Coturnix japonica: one gene and its partners. The protein of the gene in region 1 purifies or fractionates together with the protein of each later gene. This does not show direct contact. Links are inferred from orthologs where the notes say so. Each region holds a gene or a part of one and is shown in the gene's direction. Other genes may lie near its edges.

Region 1 (4,316 bases):
AGCAAAGGGAAGGAGCAGAGCCACACAAATCATCATCAGTTCAGGACCCGCCTGGTGGGCACAGACATTGCCTCGTGTCAGAGGTGGCAGAAATCCACCTGGGAAAAGCACGGCAGAAAGTTTAGCACAGTCTCCTTGGGAGACATCAAAGCAGCATCAGTCATCTAATAGGATAAGTAACATAAGCTGTTACACAAAGAGGAGCCCTAATGGGATATCACGTTATGCTGGAGACGGTTTGATGTATCTGGGCCACTGCTCGCTAAATCCTCCCTGAAGACTCTTCTGTGGCTGCTCTGGCTGCAGGATTAATCAGCTCCCTCCCGTTTATCACAGACGGGGGCTCTGGCCTCCTGTAGCTCCGGGCACGATGCACCGCGGGACATGGCACAGAGGGTGCAGGACCCAGGGCAGGTCCTGCATTGGGCCGGGGATGATGCTGCAGGACAGTGGGGCAGCCGGCGGCTGCAGGAGCGGAGGCAGCCAAAGCCCACAGCTGTAACATGGGCACAGGGGGACGGGCACCTCAACAGCTTCCGTGGAAACACGGAGCCTTCTGTCAGAAACAAAAGCTGCAGAACTGCATTTCAACAGCTATAAAGGGGTTTTATATACATCCTTCTGCAGGAACAAACATTCTCTGACCCCTCGGGTTACAGTGAGGTGCAGCACAAGGCAACTAATGGGAGCACCTGGCAGCAGCTTAGAGGAGGTAGCACGGATCTGTGGCAATATGTGATTGATCGCCCCCTGTATCACAGCCAGGGAAACGAACGGGGGCTACGAACCCTCCGGGCTCGTTTCGTGCTGTGAGAGCGACGGGAAAAGGCTCCTGAGCCCCTGAGAGCTGTGAATAAGTGACGGCACTGAACGGACCGCCAGCAAACCGCAATGGGTCCAAAGGGAGAATGTGAACTTTAATTAACGCAACGGCTGCCGGGAGCTCGGGGAGCTGCGGGTGAACGGCGCAAAGAGCCGAGCAGCAGCTGAGACAGCGGGGGTGAGAACCGGGACTGCGGGGCTGAGCGCGGGGCTGGGCACGGCGCTGTGCATCGCGGCACTGTGTATTGCGGGGCTGTGCATCGCAGCACTGCGCGCTGCCGGCCGCCGTCCCGCCGGTTGTTTACAGCCGTCCCGCCGTTACTCCCCGTCCCGCCGCGCACAGCGGTGCCGCCACTTTCCCACAATGCCCCTCGGTTCGGGCCGAGCAGACAAAGCCGCGCGGTGCCCGGATGTGGGGGCGGGGCCGACCCCGATTGGCCGCGGCGGGACGGGGCGGGCGGACACCGGCGGCACAAGATGGCGGCGCGTCCCGCCTTACATAACGCGACCTCTCACCTCGCGCGCGGCGCAACGCAGCTTGATGCGCCGGGGGGGGCGGGGCGAGGCGGCGCGATCGGCGGATGCGGCGGCCAATCGGAAGGCGGCGTTGCCGGCCGTCCTCCAATCGAATCGCGGGGCGGAGGGGGGGCGGGAGGCGCGGGGCGGCGGGAGAGTTGGGGTGCGCGCGCTCGGGCCGGGCCCGCCGCCCGGCAGGGGAGGGGAATCTCCCGCCATTTTTCAATCCTCCCGCCCGGCCCGGCGGCTCCGCGCGGACCCGGCCCCGATGGCGCCGCTGCTGGGCAGGAAGCCCTTCCCGCTGGCCAGGCCGCTGCCGGCCGGGGAGAGCGGGGAGCGCTTCATCATCCCGCACACGCAGGAGGCGTTCCGAACCCGCGAGTATCCTACGGCACCGGGAGCCGCGGGAACAAAGGGGCGGGCGGCGGGAACGGGGCTGAGCCGCCACACGGCGGGAACCGGGCTGCGACCAGCGGGACCGCGGCCTCGGGCAGCGCCGGGAGCGGGGCGACCCAGTAACGGGAACCGAGAAACAACGGGAACCGGGGAGGAGACAAAAGAACTGCCCGGAACTCGGGCCCGTCCCGCGCTGCACAACGGAACGGGCGGGAGGAACCGGGAGGAGCCGAGTCACTGCTGCTGACCGGAGGAACCGGCCTGAGGCGCAGCTCGGAGCGGGGCCGCCATGGTGGCAGCCCGGGCTCGGGGACCGCAATAGGGGCTGCAATGGGGCTGCAATGGGGCTGCAATGGGGCTGCAATGGGGCTGCAATGGGGCTGCAATATGGGGCTGCTATGGGGCTGCTATGGGGCTGCTATGGGGCTGCTATGGGGCTGCTATGGGGCTGCTATGGGGCTGCAATGGGGGCTGCAATATGGGCTGCTATAGGGGCTGCAATGGGGGCTGCAATAGGGGCTGCAATAGGGGCTGCTATAGGGGCTGTCGGCCCAGCGCCTTCTGGAAAGTTCACGCCGGCAGAGAAACGTCACGGGCTGCAAACAGAAAGTACCGCTGTGTTACCGCTGCGTTTGTGCCGCGTGCGATGGAGCCGGGCGGGAGCTGGGTCCCGTGGGGCCGGTTCGTTGGCTCCAGCTGCACCAAGTGCTGTGTCCGGCTGCCGGCCTTTCCCCACCCGGGGAAGCGGTGAATCAGCTCCTGCCCTGCGGGATCCTGTGGTGCCCATCCGTCAGTGAGGTGTGTGATGGCACCGCGTTCACAGAACACAGGGACCGCAATGGTCAGGAGTCTCCAACCCCATCGCCACAGACACGGGCACCAGCCGCCACATCTAAACGGGGCCAGGCTGCCAGGGCCCCATCCAGCCTTGCACACGGGCAGGGATGGGGATGGAGTTCTGCAGGGCTCTTCAGAATTTGCTGCTGTAGAACAGGGTGAAGAAAAATACGGGCACTGTGGCATTGTCTGGTAAATGTGAGTAGTCACAGCTGTCCCGTGACCCAGCATTGAGGAGTCTGAGGGCAGATGGGCAGAGTGGCCTGGGACTTTATTTGGCTGTGACGTTCCTTTGTAGCTTCGTTCTGCAGCCAAGGCCTGAGGAGTCGATAAGAGGAGCCGTGCTGCCCGTGGGTCCGGGACTCACGTGGAGCCCATAGTGCACTGAGTGAGTGGGTTTAGTGTGGGCAAAGTGCTGCAACGGGCTGCTCCCGGCTGCAGCCCTGCAGGCACTGCTGGAACACGTGGGCTGCGGAGCAGATCAATGCTCCATGTGCTGTGTGTGGGATAGACCTGTCCTGGTACCTCACTGCACACCTGGGAAAGCCAACGGGGTGTGTGTGTGTGCGCTGTGTGTGTGTGCACTGTGTCAATAGGTGTGTGCACTGTGTGTGTGCACTGTGTCAATGGGGCTTCATGTCAAAATGTGGAGTTGTGTTCATTGGATCATCTCCCTGCGCGTGTTGGCTGCTGTGTGACTCCATCAGGCAGTGTGAGGGGATGCTGGCCGGGCTGTGCTGAGCAGAGCAGCCCCTGGGGCTGTTGGAGCTCATTTAGGTGATTGTAGCTGTGATACAAGCTGCAGGTAGTTTGTTTCATGCAACGTGTGTGTTACAGCACTGTGTTTCTGTGCACTGTCTGCACGGAGCCGTGTCCATGGTTGGTTATTTATGCTCATGCTGAGCTTTGTGGCAGCTCTGGCTCAGTGCTGCTGGCACATCCCACGTGTCGCACTGTGCCAGACCTGCTGCATGGTCTGAAGTGCACCGCGTTTGTTTCCAGTCCGAGTGGAAAGGGCAGACAGTGTGTGTGTGTGTGTGTGTGTGTGTGTTGTGGGAAGTTTGAGATGCAGCAAACTTTGCAGAAGCGTTCTCTGCTGTTTGCTTTGGTGCTTGCAGGGTGGGTGTCCGTGTGCCTGCAGCGAGCAGGAAGAGCAGAGGGATGCGCAGTGCAGGAGGGAGCTGGGAGCTGCTCTGTCTCTGTTTGCATCCCTGCCAGTGAGGGCTGGGCTGGCTTCCCTTCTTGCAGGGAAGGCTCAGGAAAGAGCAGAGTTATGGCGTCAAGTTGTTCATTACTAAAGCGGCCGAGTGCTGTGATACGTGCAGGGCTGCTGGCTTCCTGTTGTATTTCTGCTGCTCGGTGTCAGTGCAGAGAGGTGCCCAGATCCCCCTCTGGTCCTGGTGCCTTGTGTGCAGGAGGCCACAGGCTGCTGGGCTCTGTGTCCACAGCCAGGGAGCACTGGGAGGTTGTGAGCTGTAAGCTGGGCTGACTGCAGGGTGCTCCGTGTGCTGCTGCAGCCGCCCCTGGGCTGTGAGTGCAGCTGCCTGGCACTGCTCAACTCCTGCAGCTCCTGCTCTGCCTCGGGGCTGGGGAGCGATGCCCAGGAGATGTGGGTTTGTTGCAGTTGTGACTTGCCTTCCTAATGCAAATCTTAAAGCAAAAGGAAGGAAACAAAAACAAACCACCACCAAAAAAAAAACCAAACACCCAGAACAACAAAAAATCCAACCCAAAACAAAGACAGA
Region 2 (4,338 bases), about 3.9 Mb from region 1:
GGTTTGTAATGACGCACCAAGTTTGAAACCTCTGAGCTGCAGGTGCAGATTAGGTGTTCTGTGTGTGGGCAATGCTTTGTACACAGGATAAACCTGCATTGAATTTGCAGCCATTTGTCAAGCTCCTTGCTAATTGTAGAGTCACACACGATGAAACATTTGATGAGAGAGGCCTGTTAAGAGCATAGAATAAAGGATAATGGGCGACAATACGCTCTGTGTGGATTATGACTGTGTTGTGAGACTTGCAGACAGAAACCCATCTTTTCCATTAGCCACTAAGAGTCACGTCAATTGGATGACCAATTTTATTGTTGCTGATGCTTGGAAATGGCAGAGCATGGGACAGAAGTGTGTATGCGAGGGTCTGTCTGCCCACTAGGCAGCTGTGTAGCTTAGACCACTGAGGAGCAAAATAACAGAATCACTGAACAGTTTGGATTGGGAAGGACCTGTGGGAGACTCTGGTGCAACCCTGCTTTAAAGCAGGGCTGATTTAGATCAGATTGCTCAGCCTTTGTCCAATTGAATCTTGGGTATTTCCAAGCGTGGAGTTTCACAACTTTTGGGGGCCTCTATTGTGGTATTTGATGGCTGTTATAGTAGGTTAAAAAAATGTCATAATATCTCCTTGGAATTTCCCTGCTCTCCACTTTGTCATTGCCTCTTGTCCTTTCACTTCCACTTGATGCATATGCAAAGGCAAATATACATTTTGATTTCTGTCAATGCCCTCATCTCAGGGCACTGATGGTTTTCACAGCCTCGGTGTAGTGATGGCCAATATGCCCTGATGACCCGCAGGGCAGAGAAATGTGCCACTTGTGATTGCAGTGCATGGTGATTAAAGGCAACAGGGGCTTCACCGTGCCCAGTAATGGAGTGTCCTATGTGGCAGTGCTGGTTATTTGGTGACGAGAGCTTCCATAGAAAGTGGGTGTTCTGAGAGCGGGTGTCTGCAAATGCTTGGGAATAAATATTGCTGAGCAAATATACCGAGTCCTTGCAAGGACGGACAAGGCAGACTGTGTTACCTGTGGACTCTTTGCGGTCCTGTGACTTGCTGAGAGAATGATGACAAGTGGAATTATAATTATACTATAATTGCCCAGGAGGTTCTGCTGTGGTTGGGGTGAGTCTGGAGTGGATACGGGGAGCCCTCTTGATACAGCTGCTGCTGTTTCAGTGCAGAAAGGAATTACCGTAGCGGAGCAAATGGCTTCCTGTCCTGTTTGCTGTGGTTTGGCTTGTTGGGCTGCACACCAGTTTTTCCATCACCCGTGATTACTTTTCTTTCCGTTTTTCCCCCCATTGGGTTGCAGGGACCCAGCTGCAGGCTGAAGGCAGAGGACAGCCGACTTCTTTCCTCTCCCCATGTGTGCTGTGTGTCCCCTCGTAGCAAGGGGAGGAGAGTTCCCCTCCCTTCCATTGTAAAACGCCCTCTCTAGGATGCTCCAGTAGGAGCTGGTGGGAGGGAAGGAGTTCTGACTGCGCTGAAAATGTCATTAAAAAAAAAAAAAAAAAAGGGCAACTGACAGAAGAGAGAATTTGTCCTCAGATTCCTGCTTTATGCAGCGGCGTAAACCAAGTCTCTGAAAGTGCTGAGAGAGCTGGAAGGAGTCAGAGATGAAGTACAGAGGCGCGGTAAGCTTTATTTTACTGCTTTGATATTTGTGCGGTTTTCGGCTGTGTGCTTCTCCGTCTTGTCTAGACTGAGAGGAAGAGAAATAAGTTTAGAAGGTTTCAGCATAAGAGTGGAATGTTTGAGCCCGCTTTAGTGGGAAGGTTACTTGAAAGTGGTTGGAATAGGGGAAAAAACCAAACAGAACATAAATGTATTGAGGCAGCAGTGAAGGTGGGAGTTCGGAAAGTGGGAAGTGAGGGCTTAGCAGCACGTTGTGTTAGGGGAGAAGAAAGGGTGGAGCTTTTGCTTGGGTGGAGGGGACACAAGCCTGGGAGTACCGTGGTGGTGGGCACTGGTTGTGTCCCACCCAGGGACTGTGCCCATGAGTACAGACTGCCACAGGGAATGGCAGGAAATACCTGCTGAAGGACTCACTGCCATTCTGTCCCTCTGGGATGTATTTACTTTAGCACAACTTTGTCCATGCTTTAGCGGCAGCCAGGAAGCCTGAGTCTGTGCGCAGCACAGCAGAGCTACCCAGAGCTTTGAAATGTGTAGCAAATGATGGAGGAAATTAGGGTTATTACATAGAAAACATGAAAAAGAGAGGAGAAAAAGTAACATACTATGTAATTTGACAGTGAGGGCAGAACACGAGCTCCTGTTCTCTGTGCGGTAACGTAGGAACAGGGGCATTCCATTTGGTTAAAAGCTGTCAAATGTTTGTGATTGCTGTCAAATGCAGTGATTACTGTCATACAGTTTGTAGTTGTGCCACGGAATTCACTGACCCTGGAAGATGCTGAGGTCAAGAATTTAACATTATTAAAAAGGGGGAAAAAGTGGATGTGGGGTTTTGTCTGGATGAGAATATCCAAAGCTTTAATTGGTTAAGTTTGCAAATCTGGGAGGAGAAGGAATGAAGACAACTCAGTTCTAGGTTTAAACAATTCTCCAACTGTTGAACTGGGGCCAGAGTATCCCATAACTGCTCAACCTGGAGATCCTTGCATCTTTCCCAAGGAGTCCATCTGATGCTGAGCTCTGCATGAGGAACTCTGTCCATGCCAAAGGGAAGCACAGAGCTTCTGGAGGACCTGCCTGCCTGCTCCCAGCAGCACGATGCATTTATAGGTGGAGTGCATTGTGCTTAAGGATTGTGGTTGGCTTTCTCTTGGCACAGAGGATGGTAGGAGGCAGCCAACCTGTGTCCAGCAACACAATACAGAAACAGTAGTTTTTTAGGGTGATAGCAGTGGTGTTGTCTAGGGTGGTGGTTTGATATTCTCCTAGAGAGCATGTGGGTGTGGAAGTGCCCTTCGCATGCACTGAGAATGCATTGCAGTGCTTGCCCTGTTTGGAAAGTTTTACTGTGTTTGAAAGACATAATGGTCTGAAATGGTTGTGTGGGGCGTGTGGAATCCAGGGCAGAAGGTGGGAATCTCTAGTGCGGGGAAAGGCAGAGTACACCAAGAATAACAGTGAGTCACACAGTGTACAAATATGCGAGAGAGAAGAAAGAATGTGTTCATTTAGAGAAGACTACAACAGCAGTTAGCAAAAAGCAGGGAATGGGGCCACAAGGTCAGCACCCCATTGCTGCGGGCTGGGAACAAGTCCAAGCCATGGTGCTTATCTGTAGGCTGATGTTTGAGTTTCTGTTCCCTTCTCACCTGCTTTGTCTGATGCAGAGGTGGTGGCAGAAGTTCTCTGGAAGTGTTGTGGAAGGGCAGTGGTTCCAATGTTTGCTCTTTCTGCCATCTGTTTGTCTTCTGAAGCTTCTGCTGGACCTGAGCTCACAGGTAGCACTGCTGTGTATATTGAAATCAGCAACATCTATCAACTAGCAACAGCTTTATGCCACCTGTTCAGGAGCAAAAATGTCAGGTCCTTAAATACAGGAATTCACTTTATTCACATTTCCAGCCTTGTTCGTGTTCCTGGTTTGCCTCATTCATTTTTCTTACCACTCTTTTATATTGAGCTTCTTGATTGAAACATGAGCATCCCTTCTTGGGGAAAACATTTTTTCTCTCCTTCATATTAGTTCTTTAAACTTATTCTTTTCAGTTATAATCTCTTCTCTATATCCAGTCTTTCTTCCTCCATCCCAAAGGTGTATCATCAGGAAAATATGTTTAAATATTGAACAAACAACATTTCCTGCTTCTCGTGCAAATCTCCGTGGCTCCATTTGGTTTACAGCTAATTGTTATTTGCATTTCTAATTTACATTTGAGCTCCTTGGATAGATTTCTATTATAAATATTGCAAGTGTCAAACGCCATTGATTGATATATTAGGAGTGGTAATTAACTGCAGCAGCACCCACACCCTGCATTATTATTTTTCAGAAGAATGAATTTTACTTTCACAGTTCTATCTCTCTGTGACCTACATGCATTTAATAGACACTTAAAATATGCACACAGTGTGATTACATTGCTCACGTTCCCCATTCTGCTTTGCATTTTAGGGTGGGAGATTAAATGTAGCTTGGAGAAGGGGAGGCAGGACTTGTAGCTTCCAGGCAGATTGATGCTAGAGACATAATAAATCTTGGGGAGGGCAAAATAAGCTCGCTTCCCCTATATTTCTGATTATGTAAAGTTTTAATGTACTCCAGCTTGTCTCTGCTTAAAATATGGAAGACTTCAAAATAAATACTTTACAGGAATTAGACAAGGAAGTGGCATTTGTCTCTCCCTAATATG
Region 3 (3,578 bases), on another chromosome or scaffold:
TAATTTATTCTTTTACTCTGTTGCTTTTTTTTTTATTCTTTTTTCTGTGTTGCTAGGTGATGGCAATACTAGTAATGTATTTGTACTCACTGATGTCTCAATCTCCTTCAGTTATCAGAAATTGTGAGAGAATTCAAGACTACAAATCGGCTGCTCCTAACTGGAACTCCACTTCAGAACAACTTGCATGAACTCTGGGCACTTCTTAACTTCCTTTTGCCAGATGTCTTTAATTCATCTGAGGTAAGTCTTAATTGATGTTAGAAAAATTAAGTGACTGGAAATTAATTTTCAGATTTGAAAACATCTCAACGTATGTGTATATGTACTTTGTATTATCAGTTACTTATGGTGATAGATTGACAGTCAGTAAATGCTTCCAATATTGTATCTTATAAGATAGTAGGTAAGCTAATTTTTACAGCTTTGCTGTTTCTAAGGGCTAATGTGAGCATTGCAGATATGAGGTGTCTCAAATTACAGTGTGAAGATGATCTTTACTGTGTTTCACAGTAGGATTAAATATTGGTGTAGCAGTTTACTTATTACATTTAACTGGAAGTTGCTGTATTATTTGTTTCCTATGAGTTGGGAGATACTATGTACTCCACAGTAGACTACACTAAGAGCAAGAGAACTGCATCACAGTACTGTTTAATTACTTCTTTGTAATAAGTGTAGAAGTCGAAGCCTCATGACTTGTTAGATTAGAATTGTCCTTCAATTATATATATATATTATATATATAATATATATTATATATAATGCTTTATATTTTATATATAAAATAAATAATATATATATATATACACTATGTAGTATATATTTATTTTATTTTATTTTTTAACACCAAAAGGGGTTTTGTGATTATTTATTTTCTGCTTAACAGAATGACTTGAGTCTTACCTATTCCCCATTGTAATGGTACTGCACCTTGAAAGAACAGCTCTTACATGTCAGTCATTTTGTTGTTACAGGACTTTGACTCATGGTTTGATACGAACAACTGTCTAGGGGATCAAAAGTTGGTGGAACGTCTCCATATGGTAAGTCTTCATGCTTTCTGTGTGTTACATTTACCTAAGTTAGGTTGTAATTTTTCTAGTACTTCTTGTGATGAGATTATTAAGGTTATAAGAGCTTATTCCAGAAACTGTGTCACGTTTTCAGAAAAAACCAAAGGATGTCAGTTTGTTCAAAATAAGGTAGTTTTTCTGGGGGAGAGAGGAGAGTATATTCTTCTGGCTCTCAAGGTTCTGAAGATACTTGCATTTAAAATGTTAGCTTTCAAGGCACTGCAAAGATTTCAGCTAAGTGAGGTTTAAAACAAAATTACCTAAATGGTCAGAAGTGTTCTACTAAAAGATTGGGAAAACTTCATAATTCTTGTCCTGAAAGTCATGACCTAGAAGATTTGGAGTCTTCCTAGGAAAACTGATGTATGTTCCCATGTATAACAGCCCGCCTATGTTGAGAGCTTTTTCAGATGATCGGGCAATGGCACTGGCATTTGGGTACATAGAGGAGAAAATAACTGCAGTGCTGTTACTGATTGGTTCAATGTTCAGTTTCCAAACTACAGTTAATGATGCTTTCTTTTTCAGGTTTTACGACCATTCCTTTTACGTCGCATTAAAGCTGATGTAGAGAAAAGTTTACCTCCAAAGAAGGAAGTTAAAATTTACGTGGGTCTCAGCAAAATGCAACGAGAATGGTAATTCACATACTTGAGTGTGCTGTGGTTAAGGCTCAGAAGGAATGTGCTGATTGTGGCTCAGTTATTGTGTGGAACTCAATTCCTTCCACTATACTAGATTCTTCTTTCTCTTCTTATGACATTTATGCAGACAAAACTGTGCAGATAAGAGTGAGAAGAGTGAGCTACCCAATTAAATTAAAGGGGGTGAGCTTTTGAATATACCATGTTATTTCACTTTGCTTTATAGTTACTAAAGAGTTTTTTTTTTTCTTTCTTTCATATAGGTATACAAGAATCTTAATGAAGGATATAGATATTTTGAATTCTGCTGGAAAGCTGGACAAAATGAGACTGCTGAATATCCTGATGCAACTGCGAAAATGTTGCAACCATCCCTATCTCTTTGATGGAGCAGAACCTGGTCCACCTTACACAACAGATATGCATTTAGTCACCAACAGTGGCAAGATGGTAGTACTGGACAAATTACTACCAAAGCTGAAAGAGCAAGGTATGCATCACTTCGTTGTTTTTTAGGTGTTGTTCAGTTCAGGTATAAAAATGAAAATCAGAGTCTTCGTGTCTCCTGCACAAAAAGGAGCACGCTATGAAGGATTGTGGTTGATTTCTAAGCATTACACCAGCTTCTTGAGCACTGTATCTTAAATAATTGATAGTGTCTTCATAAATAACTGAGTTGACAGTCCATTACAGCTTTTTGTGGCTCTGAAGGAGGTTTTGGTATGTGTAAGTTTGTTTTCCAGGGAAGCTGAGGCCACAGAAGCATCAGTTGGTCTGGGCTTTAGGTTTGGTTTCTCAGTAACATTGGCTATGTGTAACATAAAGATGTGGTATATTAGCCACTGCTTTGGTTCACCATCGTGTACCATTTCATATTCCAAGTCTTCACGTTGGGTTAAAGTCATATCCTGTGTGCAGTGTTGTTCTTTCAGGATATGACTTTGTACGGCATATGAGTTTTTTCAATGGATTCCTCAAGACAAACATGGAGGAACACGTCAGCTATTTTGTTTTTTTTTTTAATTTTAATTTTTTAAGTTTTACCAGGGACAAAGCTATGGAGTATATTACTGTTAAGTCACCAAAGAAGCAGAGGAAAACTTGTGACTGGGGAGACATTGCTGAAAAACAGAAAATCCAAACCTCAGCCTTAGATAACATAAAAGTCATTTGTGTTTAGTATCCAACGAATATTCAGGTGGAAGATGCAGATCACCACAGCTGTGTCTCTGTCATCCTATTTAGATGTCATTTGAACAGTGAATATGCACTGTATTTAAAGAATAATTGTGTTTAAAGCATTGGGAATTCTTTGCAGTACTTGATAGCAACTTCTGCAGCTCTGCATTCTGTAATATACAGAAGGGTTTGAAGTCACACTGGATTGCTAATTCTTTCACGTTCTTATAGCTGCTCAGTAAAATAGCATATTTTCAACATATTCTATTTTATGTGTATGTATAGTACTGAAAACTTTTTAAATCAGACTTTTAATTATAACTACTGTTGTTCATGGTATATGCAACTGCTCTCCTTCCCTTTCTAATTTGGCAACTTGGAGTGTTTGATGAAGCTTAAGCTTTGGAGAAAACATAAAGGCTTTTTATCCCAAACAGGTTCACGAGTCTTAATCTTCAGCCAGATGACCAGAGTTCTGGATATCTTGGAAGATTATTGCATGTGGCGAAATTATGAATACTGTAGACTGGACGGACAAACGCCTCACGACGAAAGACAGGTATATAAGTATTTCTCTTACACAAAAACAGCATTTATAAAACATTTAGTGCAACTGATGATAATGTTCTCTTTATTCAGGCTTCTATTAATGCGTATAATGAACCTGGTAGCTCAAAAT

Evidence for each region.
Region 2: the proteins of BAZ1B (region 1) and MYO1C purify together in Homo sapiens (affinity purification with western blotting; 3 studies listed by BioGRID, with this or other methods). This does not show direct contact. The link is inferred for Coturnix japonica from reciprocal best matches to the Homo sapiens genes BAZ1B and MYO1C.
Region 3: the proteins of BAZ1B (region 1) and SMARCA5 purify together in Homo sapiens (affinity purification with western blotting; 11 studies listed by BioGRID and IntAct, with this or other methods). This does not show direct contact. The link is inferred for Coturnix japonica from reciprocal best matches to the Homo sapiens genes BAZ1B and SMARCA5.

What each region holds. Positions count from the first base shown.
Region 1 is NC_029534.1:145,396-149,711, forward strand, and holds the start of BAZ1B (tyrosine-protein kinase BAZ1B), read left to right. Parts: upstream 1-1,486; 5' UTR 1,487-1,606; coding exon 1,607-1,719; intron 1,720-4,316. UniProt on the Homo sapiens protein: Atypical tyrosine-protein kinase that plays a central role in chromatin remodeling and acts as a transcription regulator. Involved in DNA damage response by phosphorylating 'Tyr-142' of histone H2AX (H2AXY142ph).
Region 2 is NC_029534.1:4,034,622-4,038,959, reverse strand, and holds the start of MYO1C (unconventional myosin-Ic), read left to right. Parts: upstream 1-1,503; 5' UTR 1,504-1,626; coding exon 1,627-1,644; intron 1,645-4,338.
Region 3 is NC_029519.1:26,881,531-26,885,108, forward strand, and holds part of SMARCA5 (SWI/SNF-related matrix-associated actin-dependent regulator of chromatin subfamily A member 5), read left to right. Parts: intron 1-111; coding exon 112-243; intron 244-977; coding exon 978-1,046; intron 1,047-1,604; coding exon 1,605-1,714; intron 1,715-1,983; coding exon 1,984-2,210; intron 2,211-3,336; coding exon 3,337-3,458; intron 3,459-3,538; coding exon 3,539-3,578. UniProt on the Homo sapiens protein: ATPase that possesses intrinsic ATP-dependent nucleosome-remodeling activity.